Linked DNA regions of Caenorhabditis elegans. The protein of the gene in region 3 purifies or fractionates together with the protein of the main gene of each other region. This does not show direct contact. Each region holds a gene or a part of one and is shown on either strand. Other genes may lie near its edges. The genes, in order: epg-2, atg-13 and lgg-2.

What was found.
Region 1: the proteins of lgg-2 (region 3) and epg-2 purify together in Caenorhabditis elegans (affinity purification with western blotting, with the first as the bait; one study listed by BioGRID). This does not show direct contact.
Region 2: the proteins of lgg-2 (region 3) and atg-13 purify together in Caenorhabditis elegans (affinity purification with western blotting, with the first as the bait; one study listed by BioGRID). This does not show direct contact.

What each region holds. Positions count from the first base shown.
Region 1 is NC_003279.8:2,292,985-2,303,956, forward strand, and holds epg-2 (Ectopic P granules protein 2), read left to right. Parts: upstream 1-7,101; 5' UTR 7,102-7,128; coding exon 7,129-7,185; intron 7,186-7,480; coding exon 7,481-7,582; intron 7,583-7,735; coding exon 7,736-9,649; 3' UTR 9,650-9,813; downstream 9,814-10,972. Other genes in the region: Y39G10AR.11 (TPR_MLP1_2 domain-containing protein), read left to right, coding at 233-2,227, 3,246-3,617; tpxl-1 (TPX2 domain-containing protein), read right to left, coding at 4,833-4,935, 9,842-9,990, 10,043-10,129, 10,176-10,972. UniProt on the Caenorhabditis elegans protein: Involved in autophagy. Thought to act as an adapter protein that brings PGL granules to autophagic structures containing lgg-1.
Region 2 is NC_003281.10:8,150,049-8,161,020, forward strand, and holds atg-13 (Autophagy-related protein 13 homolog), read right to left. Parts: upstream 8,143-10,972; 5' UTR 8,121-8,142; coding exon 8,046-8,120; intron 7,559-8,045; coding exon 7,044-7,558; intron 6,992-7,043; coding exon 6,832-6,991; intron 6,780-6,831; coding exon 6,569-6,779; intron 6,526-6,568; coding exon 6,368-6,525; intron 6,324-6,367; coding exon 6,186-6,323; intron 6,103-6,185; coding exon 6,028-6,102; 3' UTR 5,899-6,027; downstream 1-5,898. Other genes in the region: D2007.2 (Major sperm protein), read left to right, coding at 2,393-2,534, 2,751-2,814, 3,436-3,563, 3,672-3,769, 4,280-4,462; D2007.1 (uncharacterized protein), read left to right, coding at 5,425-5,566, 5,615-5,724, 5,811-5,894; inpp-5K (Inositol polyphosphate 5-phosphatase), read right to left, coding at 9,370-9,570, 10,011-10,160, 10,209-10,459, 10,509-10,606, 10,720-10,931. UniProt on the Caenorhabditis elegans protein: Component of the unc-51/atg-13 complex required for autophagosome formation. Required for the degradation of germ cell specific P-granule components such as sepa-1 by autophagy in somatic cells.
Region 3 is NC_003282.8:10,933,376-10,937,853, forward strand, and holds lgg-2 (Protein lgg-2), read right to left. Parts: upstream 2,529-4,478; 5' UTR 2,487-2,528; coding exon 2,381-2,486; intron 1,763-2,380; coding exon 1,594-1,762; intron 1,543-1,593; coding exon 1,389-1,542; 3' UTR 821-1,388; downstream 1-820. Other genes in the region: lsm-7 (U6 snRNA-associated Sm-like protein LSm7), read left to right, coding at 152-157, 212-305, 433-541, 630-735; Protein adenylyltransferase fic-1, read left to right, coding at 4,097-4,175, 4,220-4,357, 4,422-4,478. UniProt on the Caenorhabditis elegans protein: Ubiquitin-like modifier involved in the formation of autophagosomal vacuoles (autophagosomes). When lipidated mediates tethering between adjacent membranes and stimulates membrane fusion. Less effective at promoting membrane fusion than lgg-1.

The DNA.
Region 1 (10,972 bases), on a different chromosome or scaffold from region 3:
GCGTATTCGTGTGCGTACGCACGTGACTCTTATGCTTCTTCTTGCCCCTTACTTGCCTATTTCTCTTTTCTTCTCAACTTTTTTTTTCTTTTTTCCTTTTTTCCTTTTTCCCAAGCTTCCATCATTTACGAACTTCCCCTATTTCAGGTAGAAAACTCAACGCTTCACACTCTTTACACTGCCCCGTCTCCTTGGCAGTTGAAGAGCATCATCCTATCCGCAGATCTCCAAAATGTCTCAGCAGCAGGAACTTCCCACCTATCAGCAGACTAGCAGCTCACTTGAGCGTCGAGTGACCGAGCTTCAGGATGAGAATAAGAGTCTTCGACTGACGTTGGCTCTTCGCACTGACTGTGAGCACGAGCTAGAACGAGTTCGCAATGAGACGCATCCGGGAGTTGAGGAGCTCGAGAAGAAGCTCGCCAGTGCTGAGAACGAGATTCGAGTCATGGAATCTACGAATAAGGAATTGATGGCGACGTTGGCTACAACTCGTGATCAGCTCGGGAAGATGCTTCGCGAACGGAATCAGTTGGTGAAGGACGTCGATGAGTTGCACGAGGAAATTGAGAAAATGGAGAGCCTCTACAATAAGCCGGCCGACTACGCCTCAAACAGTTATACCGACAACATGAAGTTGATGCTTGACGAGCTGAACGATCAGTGTCGTAAGTGGGAAACTGAGAAGGCCAAGTTGACCGAGCACTTCAAAGAGGCTGAAACTCAGCTCAGAAGAGAGAATGTTAAGCTAGAGGCTCAGAAGGAGGATATCTTGAACCATACGAAGAACTCTGAGAAGATGTGGAACGAACGTCTTGAGAACATCACCGCCGACTTTGAACGACTCAAATCTTCATCGAAACCAAGTGGAATTCGTGCCGACCAGAAAATGTTCCAGGAGAATGAGATGAAGATTCAGGAATTGAACAGAAAACTCAAAGATGCTCTTGAAGCTATTGAGGAAATTGAAGACGCCAATTCGGCTCTCCGCGTTGATCTCGAAAGAAGAGGAGTCGAGAAGTGCAAGATGGAAGAAGAGCTCAACTTCCACAAGGGCTTCTTGATCGCCGAGCAACAGAGCTTTCTCTTAGACTGTGCCAACTTCGAGAACCAAATTGCCAACCTCAATAAGGAGATGACAGAGCTGGAGGAGCTCCGTGACGCCTACAAGCAACAGATCGGCGAAATCACCGAGAAACACGCCCAGCAAACGATGACATTCTCGAATGAGAAGGCCAAGTTCTGTCATGCCATGGAGCGCGTCGAGGAGAAATGGAATGCTGAATGTGTCAAACTTCGTGATGAAATTGGTGGATTGCAGAAAATGTTGTTCCAATCAACCAAGGAAACGATGGACAAGCGGGAGATTTTCGACGAGGAATCTCGTGAATGTCGCCGCAAAATCGACGAGCTCGAGGGCCTGTTGGCAACGCAACAAGCAGCGGCGCAACGACAGATTACTCGACTCCTGGCCGAGATTGATGATCTCAATGTCCAATTGAGTGATACCAAATCAGTCCAGGCGAACGCAGTGAAGGAGTGGGATGTCGAGTGTGCTGAGCTGGAAGAGGAGATCTACGAGTTGATCGGCAAACGGAAGACTGAAGGAAAAAAGTTGAGAACCATGCAGAGAAAGAATACCTGGCTTACCGCGTCGATTAGACGGCTCTCCGAGCAACGCCGTGAAGAGCTTGCTGCCAAGAAAGATGAGATTTTAAAGCTTAATAGTCTCTGTGAGCTTCAACGTATGGAAAAAGTCGAGTGGCTCAGTGACTTGAAGAAGGATGTGAATGCATGGAAGAATGAAACTTCCGTCCGAATCGAATTGAAACAGAAGATCACAGATCTTGAGGAGCAAAACGAAGGTCTCGAGGAGAAGGTCGAGAACGTGCTTGCCCAGTACAGAAGCGAGTGCGAACTGTACCAGAACAGTGTATCAAGCCTTCAAATGGATCGTGACAGGCTCAGAAAAGATGTTGATTTGTACAAAGGAAAGGCCGAGATACTGTTCACAAAGTTCGGAGATCTCGTCAAAACCAACGACGAATTGGAGAAGAAGGCGCATCAGAAGATGCTGGAGGCAGACAACTTGCGGAAGACAGTCGAGTTCTCGAACATGGAAATGACAAATGTGAAAGCGCTCATGGCGATGGAGCGGGAGCAAATCCTCGAAGAACGACACTCAACGGTTAGAGATCTTGAGGAGAAGCTCAAAAATTTGACAATGGTAAGTGCTTTTTTTTTTGCTTTTTGAACACACACACACGTGGTGCCAAGCTGTCCCATTACGGATTGATCTACAAAAAATGTGGGAATTGTTTCCCAAAAAAAAGTGACGTCAGCACGTTCTTAACCATGTGTCAGTTGAGAAGTCTGCGTCTCAACTCCCGCATTTTTTGTAGATCTACGTAGATCAAACCGAAATGGGACACTCTGACAGCGTGGTTTGATCTTCGAGAAATGCGGGAGAAGAGACGCAGACTTTTCAACTGATTTCGCATGGCTCACGCTCTCGTTAAAGCCGAATAATTATTAGAGCGCGCTTCGCATTTCTGCATCCGCGGTATTTTGACTTTCCACTGAAAAAAGCAGATATTTCAGATTTATCGAATTTTTATCTTTAAAAATTTTTTTCTGCATTTTTCGAACAAACCTTTTGTTAAACAGTTAAAATCGAATTTAAAATGACTAAAATGAACTTTTTTCGTCCACTGGTTGTGAAATGGTTTGAATTTGAAGAAATCAACGGGATTTTTCTTATTTTCTAAATATTTTTCTATTAAAAATCGGTTTTAATACATTTGTGACTTAACATTAGGGTCAAAAAATGGTTTAAAACCGATTTTTAATAGAAATATATTTAGAAAATAAGAAAAATCCCGTTGATTTCTTCAAATTCAAACCATTTCACAACCAGTGGACGAAAAAAGTTCAAAAGTATCATTTTAAATTCGATTTTCACTGTTTAACAAAAGGTTTGTTCGTAAAATGCAGAAAAAAAAATTTTAAAAGCTAAAAATTCGATAAATCTGAAATATCTGCTTTTTTCAGTGGAAAGTCAAAATGCCACGGATGCAGAAACGCCAAGCGCAGCAAGCGCGCTCTAATAATTATTCGGCCTTGAGGAGAGCGTGTGGCTAAGTGTTTGATGACGTCACATTTTACTGGGAGAAAAATTCCCGCATTTTTTGTAGATCAAACCGCAACGATTGCTTCAAAATCTCTAATTTTCTTCTCTCTTCCAGACCTCATCTATCAACAAAAATCTTCTCGCCGAGGCACGTCGTTCGATCGCCCGGCTCACCGAAGATGCCAAAGAACAATCCGAGGCTCAAGAGTTCGATCGTCTACGCTGGAACGATCAGGTAGATCAACTGAAGGAAGTCAACGAGGAGCTCAAGAAGAATCTGGGCGTCGAGGTGTTGGAATCATCCGATGATTCGGATTGTTCCAGTGACTCCTCGAGTGATTCGGACTGCTCATCGGATTCTTCTGATTCTGAAGAAGATGAAGAGTACCGTGATATGCCAAAACTGAAAGACGAGACAACCGCCGAGAACTCGTGGGAGCTGGTTGGAGAGGAGGAGGAAGAAGCAGAGCAGCAGCAGAATAACTGATAAAATGTAAATAAATGCACAAATTGAATGTAATTACAAATGTGTGTACCAGAGGTGGGCGGATATTTTTTCGGATATTTTCTAATAATGAATTTATCAATAAGTATTGATGTAGTTATTCTGGAAGAAATGTATCCAAACCAAAGAGTAACTATTAAGCAACATTTTAATATGATAAAACCTAGAAAAATTCAACAAGTTTTCCTTACCGAGACCTTAAAACTTATTAGCCGAGCAACATCGGATTTTACGGATATCGGATAATGGACTTGCATATCGTTTATACAGAAAATTTGTAGAATTTTTCTAGGTTTTATCATATTAAAATGTTGCTTAATAGTTACTCTTTTGTTCGGATACATTTCTTCCACAATAACTACATCAATACTTATTGATAAATTCATTATTAGAAAATATCCGAAAAAAATATCCGCCCACCTCTGGTGTGTACCAACTTCTATAGTCGTACTGATCGCAAATTAGTTTTTTATTGTTTCAAAAACATGTACAATTGTACAATTTCCCCCTTTTATTCCCCCCCCCAATCAAAAAATTTCATTTCCTTCTTATTTTTTTGTTTTGTGAATTTTAAAAAATTCAAAAATTTGTAGTCCCCCTCCAAAAACCCCTCTGATTCTCACCGCCGAATATTTTTCCTAATTTCTTTTCGCTTTTTTTTTCTCTTTTTTCCCTAAAATTTCAAGATAAACGATGATTTCAATTCAAATAACAAACTTGGCTCAGAAGAAACCTTTCGCAAAATTCAGACAAAAAGAGGGAAATCTACAAGAAATGTTCATTGCGGGCGGGCGGGCGGGCGGGCGGGTGGAGGAGACACAACAATAAGGATGTGAATTTCACTGGATTGAATGATAAAGAAAAGGTATAATAATAATAAGAATAAATCTGTGTGTGTGTGTGTGGGCTTCCGGTTTTTTTTGTAAACATGTGTGTGTGGGGGCCGGTCTATTATACAGAATTAGTCAGAAATAATGAACACTAGTAGATCAGTGCGCGCGCGCGAAAAGGTGAACGGGAAAAGATAGCTCAACAAAAACTATGGATATGAAGAAGAGAAAAAATACGGTATAAGGGGGTGGGATGAGACAAAAAAATCAATGAGAATCATCATAAATATTTTTTTTAAAATTAATTTTCGCGGTGAAGATGAAGCTGGTCCCATTGGAATACGACAACGATCATATGTACATTCGTTTACTGCTTCGATTGTGGAGTAGAAGCTGCTGCTGGTGGCTTCTGAGTCGAACGATCCTTTGATGGAGCACGAATTCCGTGAAGACCTCCGGCAGATGGCATTCTGGAAAATTTTTAATTAGTAATTAGTAAATTTGAAAAAAGAATTGTTTAGAATATTTTGGTATTTTTTTTCCAAATTTTTTACAATTAGCATTGCCAATCTTAAAAGTTCAAAAATGTATGCTTTTTATTCGAAATTATTTTTTGTACCAGATCAGGGGTGGGTGGCAATTGGTTTGTCGTCAAATTAGGCAATTTGCCGGTTTGTCGAAAAAATCTTTTCACAACTCTAGGTTTTCATGTAGGCACAAAATGCCTACTAGGTGCCAATCGAATGCCAATCGAAAAATTGCCGGAATGAAAATTTCTGGAAAATCGGCACATTGCCGTCATATCGACAACTTGCCGAAAACGAAAATTTTCGGGAAATCGGCGAACCGGAAATTTGTCGGAATTGTGTTTTCGTTTTCGATTTTCAGAAAAATAGCATTTTTTGCAAAAATGGCTCAAGTTTTAGCCATTTTTTTTTAGAAAAGATGTTGTTTTCTGATATTTTTCTTCCGTCATTAGTAACAAAACTTGATGAAAAATTGAATTTTATCATTACATCTCTATAGATTTTTAAAAAACTTTCTATGAAAAAAATCGAAGAATCTTATCTACTCCAGCCAGTCATTTTAGACTATATTTTTATCATTTTAAGACAACAAAAATAATTTTACAATTCTAGGTTTTCATGTAGTCAGATAAATGTTTCATCGCCTATCGATAGGCATCTTCGAGGCATATTATGCCTGCCTTGTAGGCACCTAATTTTGCCCTACAAAACTACTGATTACATTCCTTATTAGCTCGAAATCCTATAACTTTTCCTAACTTCCCACTTTTAAGGGTGGTGTAGTCGAATTTTTTTTATTGCTTTATCAGGCTCATAATTGTCTGAAAACACCGAATTTCATAATGAAACTTCTTGAAAACTTTTCAGAAAAAAGTTATGACGGCTCAAAAAATGGCCTAAAATTAGTTAAAATCGGAAATTTGACCAACTTATCAATGTCGCAGCAGCTGGAAACAATTTTTTTTTGAAATCACCGCCAAATTTTGAGTATACAAGTTAATTATCTTACGTTTTAAACTTGATTAAGGTATTAAAAAATCTTTGATTTTTAATTTTTTTAACCAAAACTCGCCGTCCATCGATTTTTAAATACTCGTTTAAAACGCGAGGTAATCGACTTGTATACTCAAAATTTGGCGGTAATATCAAAAAAAATTATTTCCAGCCACTGCGACATTGACAAGTCGGTCAAATTTCCGATTTTAACTAATTTTAGGCCATTTTTAGAGCCGTCATAACTTTTTTCTGAAAAGTTTTCAAGAAGTTTCATTGTGAAACTCGGTGTTTTGAGAGAATATCGAGTCTAATAAGACAATAAAAAAATTCGACTACACCACCTTTAAAATTTGAATTTCTGTAATGTAATGCTCTAAATCTTCCAGATTGTCATATATATCCATTGTTTTCTCGACATCAAAGACCACCAAAAAGTCATTCAATACTATTTCCACTTCACCTGTTCACCCCTTCCCCAATCTTAACATCATCTTCTGACCCTTAACGTGACCCCGACTTTCCCAAATCTCCCTCTTCTGCTCACACAACGCTATTTCCAGAGAGCAAACACAGAGCAGCCCCGCCCTAGTGGCGCATCTAACCAAACGCGCAGTCCTCCACAACTATCCACATTGTAACCTTGGCCTGTACATTACATCAGTCGGACCATTCTCTCTCTCTCGCTTTTTACCGTGGCCCATCTCTCGGTGGCTAGACGCTGCCAATATGCAGAGAGCAAGAGAGCGCAGAGCATTATGCAGAGGCTGTCTCTTTTGCTCTCGTCGAGCTATCCAAACCGTTGCCATTTCTCCCTCTTTCACTCCCCGAGACCACCCATATCTCTCGTCTCTCTCTCTCTCTCTCTTTTTCACTCTCTTTCATATTATTCATTCCTCTCTTCTCGGGTTCTTCATTCAATTCTCAGTCATTAGCTACTACCACACAATGCCTAACAACTGAATTATATATTCTACCTGATCGCCGTTTTCCTCTCACAGCCTCGCAAGCTTTCTTTCTCCTTCTTCGAATATTTTTTATGGTGACCTTGTCATTCGTCTCACTATTAATTTTTGTGTGTGTAACACATCTCTCAATAATCGATATTTTTTGCAGATCTCAATTTCAACAGCTTTCAAAAGAATGAGTGCCAACAGAACTGTCACAGTTTTTTCATCGTCAGCAGAGGATCAAGAGCCGGTAAGTATTTGAGCTGTTCTAGATTCTGTTGAGACACAAAAAATCCATTTTCACACGTGGTGCCAGAGTCTGTCTCATCACGGTTTGATCTACAAAAAACGCGGGAATTTTTTGCACAAAAATATGTTCTTAACCATGCGAAATCAGTTGAGAACTCTGTGTCTCTTCTCCCGCATTTTTTTGTAGATTTATGTAGATCAAGCCGAAATGAGACACTCTGACACCACGTGTTTTCAATGAATTCTGGAGTTTTGAAAATAGTTGAATGTGCCATGAACAAGTGTTTATATTTTAGATCGAATTGGCTGAAGACTCACTTCAAAACTTGGACAAAATGCTGGCTGAGGAAAAAGAAGAACACCAGTTGTTGAAGGACGAAGTTGTGCTTCTCAGAAAGGTGAGCAACTTATTCAATTCACTATTTAGAGAATTGAGAAAATCAATTCAATTAATGAAATTAATTAACTTAATATAACTAATAATAGAATTAATGGAACTTAATTAATTAGTAAATTGCAATTTTTCAAGCTATAAACCTATTATTTTTCAGGAAAACGTGGAAGCCAAGACCTACTCCACATTATTGGAGATCATGCTTGACGAAGCCGAAGAAAAAGCATCGTCCGCTCAAGAAACGACCTCCGAAGAAAACAATCTCAAAATTTTGAACCGAGATCTTGTGGCCGAAAACTTGGAATTGAAAGAGATGAAAGAGGAGCTCAGAAAGATCTGGTTGAGCGACTCGAAAAAATTTCAAGAAGCTCTTACGCGGATCTCAGATGAGAATACAAAACTTCAAAAAGATTGTCACGAGTTGGAATCGATTCGGCAATGTGCCCAGTTTGCATTGGATAACTGTAACGAGGAGCTCGAGAAAACCCAAACGGAAAACGAAGAGCACGAGAGCCGCATTGAGACGCTGGAACGTGAAGTTTGTGAAAAAGATATTGCCATGAAAGATATTGTTGAGCGGAAAGACGAGATTTCGCTTCAACTGGAATTGCAGACAAAGGAGTTCACATCTGCATTGAATGATCTGATGTATGGAAGAGAAGACACCTTGAAGCAGATCCATCAAATGAAGGAAAACTGGAAGGTCAAGCAGAATGAATTTGAAGTTGAAATTACAAAGTTGAAGAGTCAAAATGACTACTTTGACTCTGAACGATTGCAATTGACTGACCGAATTAGAGCTTTGCTCAACGAGTTGTCCGATGTTCGCCTGGAACTTGGCTCTACTCGTTTGGCAATGAAGGAAAAAGCTGAAGTTACAGAAGCGGTGACCAGTTTCAACAAAGATCTTCGCGATAAGTTGGAAGATGAAATTGCAAGACTCGGTGAATGCTTACAGTTCAGAAAGGACGAACACGAACAGGATGAAGCAGTCATTGCTCATCTTGAAGAACAACTCAAACTTGGCAGTGATAAAGCTGCTGCGTTTTCCAGCGAGCACAGTGACACGATTGAGTTGCTCCGTGAGTCTGAAACCGAACTGATGGAGCTCAGAATGGAGAATTACGATCTGAAGGAGGACTTCAAAATTTTGAAGGAGGAGAAAGAAGATGTCAATCGCACATGTGAATGTCTCCGCGAACAATTGAGCACAACAATTCAGGAGCGGGACATCGAAAAAGGCCAGATGCAGAGTGAGATGGATGCAAAAATGGTTGCTGTGCATCAACAGTACGCCAAGCAAATTGATAATATGAAGTACAATCATATGTTGGCAATTAATCAGGAGTTGATCAAAGGACAAATGGCTCTGGAATCTGGGAAGAAGAAGCACGCCAATGAGATTTTGACGGTACGAAACGAACTAGAGCAATCCAATGCTGCTCATCAAAGCTTGAGAGACCAGTGCAGTTTGCTTTTGAGCTCCGAAGATGATCTCAGAACCGCACATTTGGCTTTAGAAAGCAAAATGACTCTCGTTTCTGAAGAATGTATTGCACTCAGAGTGTCTCGAGCTAATGCTCAGAAAGAAATTGGAAATTTGACTGAACATCACAAACTTGAAGTAGCACTCTTGGAAGATGCGAAATCCGGAATCCAACAACGTCTCCATTACGCCACTATTGAAATCGAGCAGCTAAAAAAGATCAATGAGGTTACTCAAGCCCAGTTTAAGAAGGAAACAGATGAGAAAAATGCCGAGATTAACGAATTCCAAGCTGCAATGGTATCAATGAAACAGCAATACAATGTTCTTGGCAATCATTGTCGCGTTCTGACATCTCAAGGAATCTCGGATCGTACCACAATTGACAAACTCCAGGAAACCATTCGCGAGCACACAGAACTTGCAATCGAAACGAAGAGAATTCACGATGCAGAGATTGTTCAGTTGAATGATGCTCATAAGAAGTTGGTGGATAATTTGGGAGTTGAAGAACTCGACGAGGAGCCGAAAGCATCAACGGAATCGGAAGAGAAGGCTGAATGGGAGATGGTCGACGAAGAATAACAATTTTGATTAATTTCTTGTTCGTTTTTGTTTCTAAATTGCACACTTTACTGTACATTGCAAATTGTTTTTGTCTTTCATGCCCGCCTAAATTGTTCTCAATTTGTTATTACAATTTTTTCTGTTTAAATAATCAATTTTTCCTTTTTTGAAGAATTTTGAGTTCAATAAATCCATCGTTTCTTCTCATACCCTTTGTAGGAGCTGTACACATATGATGGCACAGGGCGCACAGCAGATTTTCGGATACTCGACGCTGGGCCCTCGTGTGAAGTCCTCGTTGGCGTAGCAGTAACCTTTGGTGTGGCAAGTCTGTTGAAAAGGTCAGCACGGGAGGCTTTCTGTAAATTCAAAAAATATATATATAGAAAAAAAAACGTTGCACAAATGTACCCCTGGAGTGGAAGCCGAAATTGGAGGTTGGCCAGAACGGTCCACTGACCGAGCTCGAGTCGGCGGCTGGCGTTGTACGGATGAAGCCTGGAAATTCGATTTATTAAACAATTAGGCAAATTTTTTAAATTACCACTGGTGGTTTCTTGATCGTTGTGCTCGGAGTTCCCGGGTTGACTCGAAGCGGCTGCCGGTTACGAGCTGCTCCACCAGCTGGAACAGCAGGACGTGAAGCCGCTTTATTCTGTTGAGCATCAGCAGGAGCCGGAGCCGGAACAGTTGGCTTCACAACATTCATTCGAAGAATCGATGAGCGATTGGCTGTTGCAATCGGACGAATCTTCGGCGTCAATTTGCTCACCGACGTCGGCGCTGTTGCCTTGTTCGCCGATGCCGAACGCCGCGGTGGAGCAATTGGAGTGGTGTTTGCTGCAGCAGCAGCAGGCTTATTGGGGAAAACACTTCGACGAGAAGCCGTTGTATTGGTACGGCGTGTACGGTCACGGGATCTGTCACCTCCTGCAGTAGCAGCATCCGATTTTACTGCGGCAACCGGCGTTTTCTGAGCCACTTTGAGAGGCATAACACTTCGACGAACACTTGTTTTGGTGACATTTTCAGCGACACGAGCAGCCATCGCACGAGTAATGACACCTGGTCCGGTATTTGCAATTGGCGCGGAGATGGTGCGAGTGACAGAATTGTGAGGTGGACGTGGCACAGATGGTGCTCGTGGAGCTGCTGCAGCTGGCTCACGCGACATTGAACGTTTCGTGCTGATCGAGCGAGAACGAGTTCCGGACGCTGGAGCAATGACGGATGTCCTCTTATCTTCCTCTTCTTTCTTTCTCTGCTCTGAACGGCGACGCTGCGAAAGACGTTCCTCTGGAGCTTTTGGTGCAAACATTGACAATTTCTCAAGTCCCTCGA
Region 2 (10,972 bases), on a different chromosome or scaffold from region 3:
TAAAACTTTCTGGACTTGAAATTTAAAATTTAAAATTGAATCTAATTTGTTAACTTTTCACCATGTTTCCCCTGTCTGGTAACAGAAAAAGTAGACCTTTCAATGATAATTTGGAGTTTTTATATAATTTACTGAAGTTGTTATAACCAAAATCTAAAATTTTCTGACTCCAAAGTTCTCCAAGTCAAAAGACAGTTAGGACGTCAAAAGACTCCAAGTTTTTGAATTAATCTAATCCAAATCACATATTCTATAGCTGCACTTTATTCAATATATTTCCCGTTTGATAGCTTTAAATAAAATGTGCACTTTTGTAATTAAAATTGAATAAAATGAGTCATAACTTGTCTGATCTTTTCTTCTTCATTTTCTTTTCATTCCTCCTCCCACACTCGCATTTTAAATTCCCTTGTCACTGGGAGCGGGGGGCACCGCGAATTTTCAAAACTTTTTTGAAGGGACACTGGTTTTCATTTTTTGGGTTTCGGTTTTGAAAAAGTTGATCTTTGTTTTTTTTTGTAATTTTTTCCAGTTTGCAATTGTTCTGGTTTTGGAAAATTAGTTTTAGTTGCAAGTTTTGCAAAACTTCCGGATTGCTCCAAAGTTGCAAAAATAAGTTTTTACTGTTTCCATAGTTTCTAGACAGTTGAGAATCTGAAAATCAAGATTTCAAATTATAAACCGTGAATTTTATTCGTGGTACAACTTTTTGACCTTCGTATAGAAACAACTTCACAGCTTCGATCTTCATGAGTATTTCAAAAATGCAATTAAGACAACCTGAATATAATAAAAAGCATGAAAATATCTTCTAAACTTTCTATAAACTTCATGCCACCCCCACATTGGTTGACCCAACAATCCCGTCCACACACATCTACACATACATACACAACAATCTTCTATCCTTTGTGGTCGTGCCCTAGTCACCGCCGTCATTTTTCGAGCCGCTGAGCAATTATATTATGTCTATTATGAATGTACTGCTGCTCTTCTCTCGCTTTTTTCTACTCATTCGGACCTTTCTCTCTCTCTCAACTAGAAATGATGATGATGTTCGATGAGCACAAAACTTTCTTTTTTGGGCTCTTTTTGGAGCACTTTCGGTGACTCTCACAAAGGTGTAAACACTGGAAGACTTGAATTTTTTTAGTTTGAGAAAAAATTTGAAGATATTAAAAATTAAGATAGGTCTAATTAGACAAAATTTTTTGTTTCGGAATTTCTGACCAACTTACTTTTTTTGGCCAATAAAGAGATATATTCCTTATGCAGTTTCAAAAACTGATAACTTTAAAATAAGAACCGAGAAATCTAATACCCTAAATATACCTTTAATGAATTTTTAATTTTTGGAAATCATTTTTATTTTAAAAATAAACTTTAGGTATCAACTGTTAATTTATCAATTTACCGGGTATCTAAATAGTACAAATTCAATTCCTCTTATTGAAGTTTTCCGTTGTTTCAAAACTCATTTTCTGGTTCTTCATTTTTGAGAAATGCCATTATTTTTTTGCAAATGTCAAACATCTATTTTCATAAAGACCAAACCAATTTCATCTTACATTTTCGTACTTTAATTGTACCCTTCACCTCCCTCGCTCATTCTTTTTTCTTTGTTCGTTCCCAAAACGCCTTCATTTTTTTACCGACTGCTGCTGCTCCCAGCAATTTCCGGAGTGAACATTCGGAGCACTTTCTCTCCTTTTTTAATGTGCTGCTCCTTTTTCTTGTATAAGTGAGCTTGAAGTCTTCCGTTGCCATGAAATATTGTTCTAACACACTTTTTTTTTGGTTAAAACATGCTATAGCTTGAGTTTGAACATTGGAACCGAAAAATTTCACATCTTAAAAAAGTTACAGTGTCTCTTTTTCGTTTGAGCTCTATATCTCGGACAGCTTCATTTTTTGGAAGTGACATTGTTCTGTAGTACAAATTCGGATAATCACCGTACCTGATAATCTTGCTCCAGAGGCAAAACCATGGTAGATGGGAAAACTCTTTTGTCTTTAGACATTCCACTCGATTGGGGTTCTACAGGGCGCTTTTAAACTGTATGGAGACTTCACTAACCTTTATCTCTCTAAAATGTTCAGATATTCTTCACAAATTTTATTAAGAAGGGAAAATTAAGGAAATATGACAGGCTTTCTTATAAAAGTTGCATGTTGATTCTTGTAAGAATCGGTCAACGTTTAAAAATAGAGAAGTGTAAAAACTCCATTAAAACGCCATTCAACATATACATCTCCCATGGATACATCATTGACCTCTTCTTTCCGACCTCCCGTTTCAAAATGTGACGTTTCCATAGAAGTGTCATCTGCAGAACAACCCCAACCAACTCCTTTCAATCTTTTTCTTCTTCAATATTTCATTTTATTTCAGAACTTCAAAGACATCCGCTCATCATCAATGGCTTCTTCAAGTTCAGCTGCTCTTCGTCCTTTTGGGACGGCTCGATTGACACCTGGAAGACAAACTGGAAGACAGACACAACAACAGATTAGTGCTCCAGAACCAATGATAGGTAAGCATTTTTCGAGGCTTAATTTGATACAATTCACAAAGTGCCGGGCTCGCCCAGAATATAAAAAGCTGACTCAAATTTTCAACAAGCTTATCTCACCAAAAAGTCACTTTTCGAGGAGAACAACTTCAGAAAGTTTTCGAAAAGAGTTGCCTCGATTATTTCCCCACTGGTTCAACTCTACCTTTTACAATATTATTAATATTGGATTTTCAGCTATTGCTCTCTCGGATATGGAGTACCTAATGCGGTCGGCTAGATCAAGCAGAAGCTCAGGAAGGTAAGATTTCACACTTAATTTTTTTCAAGAGTTACTTCAAATCTTGAAATAAATGAAAAAACAAAACAGATTTTTTAAAGTTCTCACAATTGGATAATCTTCAAAATTTCTTCCTCAACGAATTCAAAAATGTAGACCACAAACATTAAATTCTCATCATAAAAACGTATTTTTTTCTCCAATTATATACTATTATTACCTTAGAATTTTTCAAACATCCAACATTTTCTCCGGAAAAGACCAGAGCTCGGCGAGCAATTTTCATGTTTTAAATTGTCGCTACAAACTGAATTGAGAGACGAGAGGCCTCTTATTCCGTTTTTATACGAAAAAAGGAAACTATTTCTTCTATTTTGTTCCTGAATTCTAAAAACAATTTCTGATGAATATCTATAATGTGAGACCAGCTTGTCGGATTCCAAGTTTTTCAGTTGACAGGCCACGTTCTGTACTTGACAGTTTTAGGTATGATTATCATTGTTTACTAAGAAACATAAGAAAAATACAACATGAAATGGAATAGTAGTTTAGCTTAGTTTTGAAAATAAACTGGAAAATACATGAAAAATAACATACAATACAATATGTAGAAAAACAGCAAAATAAATCTATAACTTTCAGATCAGAACGCCAGCCAGGATGCACATGCTGCTGCCACATTGCTGCTGGGGTTACTGTAATTCCACGTGTCGCCCGTTTTTCAATCGAAGGAGGACTCTCAACACACACCCTTATGAATCATTCTGATAGTGAGTTTTTTTGAGCTATGGTTTTGAGTAACTCGATTTAGGTTGTAATTTCAAATGAGCAAGCAAAAATTGGGAAAAAATGTCAAAAAACTAATACAAATATTTCAGATCGGATAGCAGTAAAAATCACATGCAGTGACAACAATATGTACAGAGTGACACCTGTATATGCAACTGTTGAGCCTGGACAAAGTCTTCCACTTCATGTAAGTTTTAACACAAAATTTCAATTTTTGAACATTTTTATTTCAATCCCGATTGAACTAAGGTTTTAGGTTTTCAGGTTTCAGGTTTTAGATTAAAAATTTCTAAACTTTTGGAAAATTAGAAGCTAGATAAATTAGCTTAAATTTAAAATATGGATATCGGAAATATAAAAGTATTTTCTATTGTTCTCTCTGTTATTGCATTTTTGTAGCTTCCTGAAACGTTTTTTTTTACATTTTTGAAGTCTGCTTCTCTTTTAGTCGCGCATGTCTGAAAAAAAAAACAAAAAATTCCAAAATCAGTGAAAATACCAAAGTACCAAAAGAAAGTCAAATTGCCAAAATATGCCAAAAGACCACCACCAAAAAAGTCCAGGTTGCGTGGAGTTTCTAGTCGAAAGTCATCGTTTCAGAAAATAGCAAAATTGAAATCTTCAAAGCCTGTTAAATACAAAAATAGAACACGTATACCATACCCACCCCACAACCCACTTGAACATTTGATTACAGATCGCCCGAATTACCAGTGACCTAATCAAACGTGATCGTCTCTGTGTCAATATTCTCGAAGCAGATGGCAATAAGGAAGCTCGCGAAATTTTCAAAAAGAACGCGAATACACGTGCACCAGCTTCAATCAATATGGCCCTTGAGGCAACAAATGACAATCAGAATCATCATCATCAGGAGTAAAGAAACACAAATATGTACATGCAGACAAACAAAACTACCAACTTTCATTCTTTTTATGCCTTTTTTCTTATTTTCTTTGATAAAAACATAATAAAACAATATGAAATGACATCACAAAAACTGCAAAATCACAAAAAAAATGTCAGAAAATCGCAATAAAACGAACGTTTTATTTGCTCAAATGATCAAAGATATTTTCTTGTTAAACTGCATCATGAATCACTTGCCATTTGAACAAAGGATTGTCACAAAATTAGTTTCCAAATTTTTTATGTCAATTCGTCATTTTTTGAAAATTGTGTTATCTTCGAAACTAGGCCAGAATACTTGATTATTTGAACATTTGTATTGATAAAAATCGATTAGTAAGTTGAATTTTTCAGTTCTTAACTGATTCTTTCCATGAAATTTCATTTTGTTTGAAAACTCTACAGAAACGGTTTTTTGAAATTACATAATTTAAAAAAAAACTACCAACCCCTGTTTCAAGTTGAAATTTTGCTCATTTTAAAGGTTCCTATCGTCAGGACCTGATCACAGGATCCTGTCACGAGCGAAACATTTCAGCTACAGTACCCTCAAGTATTGTAGCTATTTTCTTACATAGCTTATTTTTTGAGATTTGTATAATAAATACACGAGGGCACGGTAGAGAAAAAATTTCGATCGTGCCAGGACCCAAGGTAGCGATTTGCGGTCAAACAAAAAATTAATTTTAAGAGTAATCCCTACTTATTATAAGTTATATATCTCTCGCTAAGATGATTAATATTGAAACACTGGTCTCAACACGATTTGCCTGCGTTCTAGGGGAGCTTCTAATCCTCTATCACCTGACATTAATCACTTGCTCATTCTTCTCTCGTTCTCTGTTTCTCTTTCTTCTTCGTTGAAGTCTCTGTTGAATAATTGTCAAACCCATAACACATTTTATTTTTATATTCCAAAAAAATATTTTTAGAATGAAGATCTTATCGTTGATTCTTGTAATTTTGGTGCTTGTGGTGTCAACAGAATCCGCCGCTTCCAACAATATTTTCTCATCAATCTTTTCTTTTGGCAAGAAAAAACCAACAAGTACTCCAACACCTAGTTATTCAAAAGGTTTTTTTTTAGTTCTTTGTTCAAATGATCTTTGGATTTACATTCCAGCTTCCGCTTCCACGAGCCGGTGTGGAGTACAAGCATCACAATGTTCTGCTTATGAATGTTGTAACTTTGATCAGACATGTCTTCGAAACCGCTGCTTCCCAAGACTATCGGTAAACAAGTTCAAAGATAATTAAAAACTTATTGTATACGTTTTTCAAACTGCACAGAGAAACCCATAAACTTTCAAAAGTTTCAGAACTGTCCAGTTACTCGGGACCAATGTGGAAATGCATGTTGCAAGACTTCTGAGCAATGTCGCAATGGAAAGTGTTCCCGATAATTTATATAACTATACATTTATGAATATTCAAAAAACAATATGTGCACAAAAAATTGTGAAACGAGTGTAAACGTGTGAAAAGTGTACATGCGATGTATACAATATGGGAGATTGTAAATTTTCAATAAAAAAGTCACTCATCGGAGAACGAATTGACGTGTTTCAGGAAATTGTTGAAGTTGGCAGTTTGAGAACTTATTTTTTCGAGCTGAAATTTGATTGAAATTTGAATTTGTTAATTAGTTATAGTTTTTGGTTTAAATGCCATTAGCTATTTATTTCCAAACTCACCTCTGTTTTCAAGTCCATGTTACAAATATCAATATCACCGGATTCTGTCATATCGGGAGCAGTTTTCAGCTGCTTCAGATAGTCTCCCAGCTCATTACCAAGACTTGGCGCACCACCGAAATCTGATAGCTGATTAAACTGAAATGAAATAATTAACGACTCGTTGATTAACTAAGGCTTACATGAACAAATGAATCTTCACTCAGCTCCATTGAATCAAGTGGCAACTCTTCATCTTCATCTTCTTCAAATACAACTTCGTCGATTTTAGCGGCACGGAAGCTCTCAGCAACCTTTTCTATCGTTGGCTCTTTGTCTTCTGGAGTTGATTTTGGAGAATCTAGATTTAATAATAAATATTTGAATTATTTTTATATTCTTACTGAGACAAGTAGAAGAAGAGTTTTTCTTGGTTCCATTTGCTGGATTGTATGCCGACTGTAGTAGATTCACGAATGGGAATGAATGATTTCGTAGATCTGCTAGAGATGGTTTGTGATCTTCTTCATAAGAATTTTGAACATCTGAATGTCGAGAGTCTTCACTTGATGTTGATTGTCCAAGAATAAATCTAGGAGCAGCTTCTCGGGAGGTCTTAAATTTTTTAATTCGTTTGACTTTGCATAAAATTTTTTTGAAAACTTACAGAACTTCCAGCACTTGTAGCAGATTCAACACTTCCACTTGCTTTTCTTTTTTTAGCATCAGCAATTGGAACACATTCTGAGACAGTTCTTGTTTGAATATTTTCATCTACAACTGTCTTTTCCCCGTCATCAATTTCCTCTTCTACATCTTCAACAGGTCTGAAATTTAATAATTATTTAAAATCGGAAATTATTCTATTTAATCCCTTACGTTACTGGAGCAATCTCTGGTTCCTCGAAATGCATTGATGTTCGGTAATGTAGGTCAAGACTGATATTTCCAAATTTTGATACAAGTTCTCCAATTTTTCTAGTTTTCTTTCCTTTTCCCATATCAGATGAAATATCATTTTCAAAAACTCTATACATAATTACAAAAGTCTCCAAGTGCTGCTTTTTCACATACAATCGATGCATTGGAGTCATTCTGGCTGATACAATTGCTGATCGAAGCAATGTGCTCATATCATGATAAAGTTCATTTCTTGAACAATCATCAGTTCCTTCTGATGAGCTAAGAATCCACGCTTCAAGTGGTAATAGTTGTCCACTGGGTGTATAGAGTAGAAATTCGAGAGTAAGAGTTCCGACAGGTGGATAACTTTTGATGTTGGATTTAAGATAAGCTGAGATTTCACCGAGTTCGTCAATTCGCATATTGAACCAGTCGACTGCGTTTTCCGAGTACGGTACACATTTTGATTCAATTTCATCGCCGAGGCGAGACTGAAAATTTATGGAATATTAGGAAATTTTGATTTGTTTTTATTGTTTGGTAACTATTGTATGCGAAATTTTTATTTTTTGAGCCACAAATACTGTACCCGGTCTCGACAAATTTTTTGTTAAATGCGAGAATGTTCGCGCCTTGAAAGAGTACTGTAGTTTCCAACTTTGATCGGTGCTGCGGAATTTATGTCTTTACTTCAAAAGATTTCATTGATTTTTCAGAAATTTCACATGTTTCATTTTAGTTTTTTTTTTCGATAAATTAATAGATTTTCATACGAAAACTATGAAAAATCGATGAATATTTAAGCTCAACGAAATTTTGAAACTACAGTACCCATTAAAGTCTCAGACCTGTTTGAATTTTACTTAATTTTACTAAATTATTTTTTACATACAATGGCGCCAATAAATTCGGATTTTCAATAAAACAAATGAGTTTCGGAGCATTAATACTCTTAATTAAAAAAAAAATTATAAATACCTGAATTATAGATTGAACCATTCGCACCGAGAAGAATTTGAGCCATTTGTTGTACGTGTCGTACTCATTTACCATGTTTAAATAATATATTATTGATCTGAAAAACAAGACGATGGTAGTAGTCACATGAGCGTAAAAGAGACGAGATGAGTGATACAATAAACTGGAGAGGTGGTAGAGAGAAAGTGAGATGTTGAAGAATTTGGTGAAAATAGAATGGTTGAAGAGTGTTTTAAATGGAGTTAGAAGAAAAAATCCTAGTTAATACTTTTGAAAACTGAAATAATCCTGCATTGAGAGCGAGTTTTTGAAATTGCTGCTCTACTGGAGAGTTCAAGGATAAAAGGTGCAAGAACGGCAGTACATATTGAGCAGCTGGCTATTTTAACAATGTTTGATAGCAATTTTTAAAAGTGTAAAGATGCTCAATGTGCACAATTGTCATCGGTTCTTGAATCAATAACTGTGGAGTGCTGGGTGCGCCTGCTTCACGTGATGGCCGAGAACTCGAGGACTAGGATTTTTGGGTGCAATACACAGATGTGGCCTCACTGGGAATGGCTCGGAAAAATTATGTTCACAATTTGTTTTGAAGGTAGTTTATTTTAAAGAATAGGTAAAACTGTGGAAACGAAAAACTGCTAATTTTGAATCCATAATATGAATAAAGTTTGAAATAAATCACTTTATTAATAATATTGTACACTAGTTAATATGTTTGGCACAGATATGGACCGGACTATAGTATATGTTTGACTAAATCACAATTAAGTGTTACGAGTTTTGGCAAGTAAATTAAATCCTCCGGTACCGAGGTTAAAATATCGATTTTTTGTACAAAAAATACATATGAAATCTACCGTATTTCTTCTATTAATATGGCTGCAATACTATTTCTCGATGGTCTTCCCGCTTGCAATACTAATAGGGAGTGCAAGACTATTAGGGAGTGCAATACTAATTTTCAGAACATTTTTCTGACTTTGAGCTTACTAGTTTTTTTTCTGAAAAAGCTCGAATCTTATGTGAAAATTCAGAAAACTTGATTTTAATTGTAACATATAAGTTCAAAAACGTTTAATCTCGTAGAACTGTTGTGAAAAACTGTTGCAAAATAAGCAATAAGTGTTATAAAAATCTTTAAATTACTAAAGAGGGTTTGCACCAAAGAAGTAAACGCAAGACTATTAGGGAGTGTAACACTAATAGGGAGTACCATACTAATTTTCGGAAGGTCTCCGAGGGGAAATACTAATAGTGAGTGCAAGTCTAATAGGGAGGCCATATTAATAGAAGATATACGGTATAATATATTATAATACAGCTATGGTTGTTCAACTATTTGAAAGACTTTTGACAATCCAACAAGACAATGAAGATGACAAGAAAAATATCCAAGACGGTAGTTTCCAGCAGGAATATTATTGAATTCACAAGCCAGAAATTTGCTACCTTCAATTACTTGCTCAAAACAAGTGGCAGCATAGATCCAATTTGTGGCAGTGGTACAGTCGTTGATGCTGGACTGAAATGAATCAATAATTTTATAAAAATAATGGGTGTAGTGTCCAATCAATAAAACCAATACGCGAGTTAACCACAAAATTTTGTGATTTTCGTGCCAAGAATATGTTACCCGGTCTCGGCACGACAAATCTTTGTTGAATACCAAGAGGCGAGCGCCTTTAAAGAGAACTGTAACTTCGAATTTTCGCTGTTGGGGAATTTTCTTCCTTTAATACGTTTTTTAAAATAGTTTTTACACGATTTTTAAAAAAAATTAACAAATATACTGTTATATTTAAAAAAAAAACAATAAAAAATCAATGAAAATTCCGCATCAGCAAAAATTCTGCTCATATCTCTTTGCATTTAACAAATTTGCCGCGTCGAGACCAGATATCATATTTTCGCCACGAAAATTCCAAAATATTTTCTGTCTGACTATTAATAATAATGTATTACCGGAAAAACTCCAATCCAATCACGATAACTTCCATTTTCTTTGTAATATAATTCATTCACTTGGAATCTTCCAACTAATGGAATTGATGTGTACCAAGTGGGTAGATGCTCAAAAATTACTTCCCATTGTGGTTTTGGTGCAGCGGGTGCCTGCAATAACATTGATCAATCGATTAATATATTAATTCATTTACGTACAGTAACTCTAAACATTGCAACTACAGGTAGGTGATCACTTGCCACTGCTTTTTTATTGTTAGTATATGACAATCCAGTAATTCCATCTCCTTTGTACAATATTCTATCAGTCCACGATGGAACGCGTTTTCCATCCTGCTCTGTAGTGCCTACAGTAACCCGATAAGTTGGTTCAAATGTAACCGGTTGTTCGTGAAAGCCAATGAATGCATCACGCTCAACTAATGCTCTTTTCAATTGTTCACGTGTATCTGGAAGCTGTGAGGAATGAGTCCACGTCGTTGGAAATATTTATATTACCGAGTAGTTCTAGATGAGTTCCATTTTTGATTTTTCTAATGACTGTATTCACATCCTCTTCTACGCGAAAGTTGAAGTCACCAAACCAGAATGCTGCTCTGAAACAATAAAAAAAGGTCATCTTATTATGGAAATTATGAAGGATCTCAAGTTCCACGACTCGTAGCACAACATTTATCGAACTATTTTCATTTTTCGCGGATCCAATTACCTGACACTCTTATCCTCTGGAAACGAGCAATTTCTATTGGTATGATACTGTTCAACGCGCTTCCCGTAATTCTCGGGGCCATGTATGAAGTGACTATCAACGAATACTATTGAGTAGGGGCTTGCAAGTTGAAGACGTACACCAATTGATCCTTTATGTCCTGTTAACCCACCCATTGTGTTTCTTTGGAAGCGATAATCGATTCGTTTTATCTGAAAGATTGGATAATTCGAGTGAAAATGTTCGAAAAATA
Region 3 (4,478 bases):
ATTTTAAATCATAATTTATCAATTAAAAATACCGTTTAAAAAAATTCTAAATCAATAAGATTTTGTCAGCTTAATTTATTTCATTCGTAATCGATAATTTCATTCAAAATTTCGGAATTATTTCAGACTCACCACAACTCAACACAGAGAAATGTCGGTATGTTTTAAAAATACAATGAATAAGTTATTTATAATTGTTGTATTATTTTAGAAAGACGAAGGAAAACGAAAGAAGGAGTCTGTCGTTGATCTCACCAGATTTCTCGACAAAGAGATTCGCGTCAAGTTCCAAGGAGGACGTGAAGGTTGGTTTTTTTTTTGCACAATGATGTGCACTAGCAATAAGATTCCGTCATTAAACTATTTAAACAATATGAAAGCGTCCAACATACACAAGCTGTACTTCACTCCATAAAAATGTATAAATTTCAGCAAGTGGCGTGCTTCGAGGATTCGATCAGTTGCTCAATATGGTTCTTGATGACTGCCGCGAGTATCTCCGTGATCCACAAAATCCTTCGGTCGTCGGTGATGAGACAAGGTAATTGATAGATTTCCAAAAATCGATTTAAAGCTTGGATTTCAAATTAAATCTAGATTTTCGATTTTATCTTATCTTTTATCTTAAGACAACTGGGTCTTATTGTGGCTCGCGGAACAGCAATTACAGTAGTTAGCCCAGCAGATGGACTCGAGCAAATCGCCAATCCATTCGCAACCCAGGAAGAAGAATAATCGTTGATATCATCATCATCTCTTATTATTATTATATATGTATGTGATCTCCTTGTGAATGAACATTCTCCAGATAAAAACGACGAAAAAGTTGTTATTACATACAAAACATTTGATACATTGAATTTGGAAAAGTAACGATGGAACAAGATGTAATAATTTTGAATTGAATCCGTCTAGGCAGTCAGAAAGTCCATAGCGGTAAATTTCAATGTTCAGGGCAGTAAGGAAAATAGTCCCTATGGGCTTTAGAGACTAGCCAAGTACACAGAATCGTAAACGGTTTAAATTTTGTTGAAAGAGGATCAGTTGTGAAAAGAAGACATGAAGAAATTCAAGAAACGGGCTGGAAAATGCGGAGAAAGAGTTATGAGGGAACACATAAAGACTACACGAAAACGTAAGCGAATTTGGGTTTCTTTTTTTTCGTTTGTAAAACAAATTTCAGCTGGAAGTTTTGAGGTGGGGAATTGCGAGGGGCGAAATTAGCAAAGGCAACTAGAAAAATGGTTGGCGCCTGAGTATGATGGGTTTTCAGGTATTTACATTTAAAAATACAACATTTTACAGTGAGGATTGCATTGGGCAATCAGTGGTGTTGGTGGAAATTTAAAAATTGATTAGAATTGTGATGGAAAACGGCTCTTGATGTGTTATCCAAATGCTGGTTGAGACGTGTAAACCATATACACAAAGCCATCTGGATCACGCTCTTGACTGTACAAATTGGACATGCTCATAGAATTTGACACCATTGAGCGTTCATTGACGAGCAGGAAGAATGCTTGTTGTGGATGAAGTTGGAGGCTGAAAAGCAAACGGATGATTTTGAAAAAACAACTCAGTTGAATAGCTCACCGTCGTCTAACAATTGACATGAGCTCGGCAACGGTTATATGCTCGGGTACTAGGAATTTGCAGCGATCCATAAGTGGTAAACTGCGTTCTCCATCAAATCTTTCGATAATTACCGGAACCTTGTTCGGTTGTTGGCTGCGGATTTCTTCCACATCTTTCTGACGCTCATCTGAAATCGAATAGGTTAAAAAGGTTTTCTTTCGAAAATTTGAAAATAAAAAAGTTGTTCCTCAGTTCTGGATTTCTCTTTTCCACTCGTAAAATTCATATTTCTATTTAAAGATTGGCGTACGTTCAGTTTTGGTTGTTATCTTGAATGGTGGGCAATATTTTGAACTCTAGAATATCAATATTGATCCAAATTTTCCTATAATCCTATTTCCCTTGCACCTGCCCTATTGATCTTTGTTTCTCAGGTCCATCTATCTCTTTCTTTCATACAACGAAGAGCACCCAATTAATACGCAATGTTCCATGGGTGCTGCTCCACTGACATAGTCACTCATTCACACAAGATCAGCTGATTTTCACATGTCTCACTTGCATATTGTCTCTTGTTTCCTCATGCTCTCTCGCTGAAACGCATGACGCGGGGTGTCTGTCCTCTGCGTCTCTGACCTTTTACAATGGACGGGTGAAGGAAAAAAAAGTGGGAATGATTGGGAATGAATTGGTTGGGATGAAAACCAGATGTTTGATGTTAAAGTAAAATTAAAGTGAGACTTGAAGCTCTATTTTTATTTTGATGACAATTGTTTGATTAGTAAATGAATTTTAAAAAACTTACGGAATGGCCTTCTTTCCTTGAACGATGGAACGATTCCGGAAATGTAAGATCCTCCCCGATTTCCGCTCATCGCTGTTTGTGTGTAACTTTGAAGCGTGGCTAGCATAAACGCTTCTTCACTTTTTCGTGCTGAGACCCGATTTTCGATCTGCAAACTTGAAAAATGGTAACTGGTATTTGAAAAGTTGAGAAAACTGATTTTAGAAGAGAAATTAGAGTGTGAGATGCTAAAGGACACTGTATGTTTTTGTGAGAATTTTTTTATCAAGAAGCGAAAAGACAGGTGAAAGGGAATGGGACAGAGGGAAAAATCGAGACAGAGGCAGTAGGCAGCACACACGCTCTTTTGCTGTATGTCTCTTTGTCCTCTGTGTCTCTTCATTGATGCTACTCTCTTTTCTCACACCACAAGATCGACTGAGCGTCGAGGACACATGACCGCGAGACGGAGAGACGATGAGAAGAGAAGAATCATGTGATGAAGGAATAGATGGGGAAAAGAAAGAATAGAGTTAGAGAAGATGAGAGTGTGTATTATGACCCTTCTCCCAGCTAATACAGAAGTTCGAAGCAGTGTCAGACAGATGAAATGATAGCGAAATTTGAAACGATGAGTGGCAACGAATTAAATAAATATGACAGCGAGACTTGTTGGCGACACTAAGAAAGTTATAGGAGAAAACGTTTTAATTGAATACTTCCTAGAAAACTTCTCAACTAATGTTCTAGTGTGAAAATGCTTGGTTTTATGAATGAAAATTTCTAATATTAAAATGGGCCGTTTAAATTAACGGAAAACTAAAGATTTTATCTATACCAGCCAACTCTTTTATATCGGTCTACGTAAAAAAAGTGCTTGTACTTTGAAAATAGTGGCAGGGAGAGATAAAGGGCAGGGGAACCAGATGATCTCTAGAACTTCCAGTCTGAATCTACTACTCCCAATCAGAACAACTGACGTTTTTTTCTGCAAACTTTTTTCTCGGAACTTTAGATCTTTGACGCGATTTTCGAAAAAGGGAGAAGTGATGAAATATGATCAAGATTTCACAGCAAAAATTGGCAATCTGCGATATTTTTTTGACATTTTAAGGGTTTCCTTAGATTTTCCGTTGTTGAAAATGCGGGTATCTAAATAATTTCGAAAGAAGTTTTGAGATGAGGACGAAACTATGGAAAGAGCAAAACAATAAGTGATGAGGGGAAAGAAAGAAAAGTGAAAAATCGATGTACGAGTAAACAGACTCTCATGACTAGTGAACTCAATTATGTTTACGTCTCAAAATCGATATGTTACTGCGCACGCCGTGTGCATTTGTCTGCGTCTCGTTTATTTTCTTTTCTTTAATAGCATTTTCCGCGTACGAACTTCAAAGATGAAGAAATTTCTTGTGAAATCGAGTGGAATGTCGATATTTATATGGTTAATATTTAGATAAAAGATTATTCAGTTTTTTAAATTAGGTTTTTCGGATATAACTTGAAAAAAAAGAAGGAAAACATGCCAAAATCGAAAAAAAATGCATTTGGTGTTCAAACCATTAATCAGTACTACCGTAACTCAAAGGCGCATTAACGTTTTTTTACTCTGGTCTCGAAGCGAAAGGTGGAATCATGCTCAAAATTAATTTGCAGATCTTTTTTCTTGTTTTCGCTTCAAATGCATGAATAAGTTCTGGAAAATTTGTTTTTTTGCAGATAGTTTTAAATAATGTGATGTCAGTTCGAAGACGAACTCATTCCGATGATTTCTCCTATCTTTTGGAAAAAACCCGAAGACCTTCCAAATTAAATGGTACATTTTTGATTATTTTCCAAATAAAAACATATAATTTTCAGTAGTTCAAGAAGATCCGAAATCGGCCCCACCACAAGGTTATTCACTAACCACAGTCATCATTATCTCAGTTTTAGTATCACTAATCTGCCAACATTTTGTACCATATGCAGTCTCTACGCTGCACACTGTAATAAAAAGTGAGTCGCAAAAATAAATATTAATATTTTCGCTTATTTCTTGAAATAAAAAATCAGCATTCAGATTCTCCAAAACAAAAGTCATCACCACCACCTTCTAATCGTCTCAACATTGGGTTTA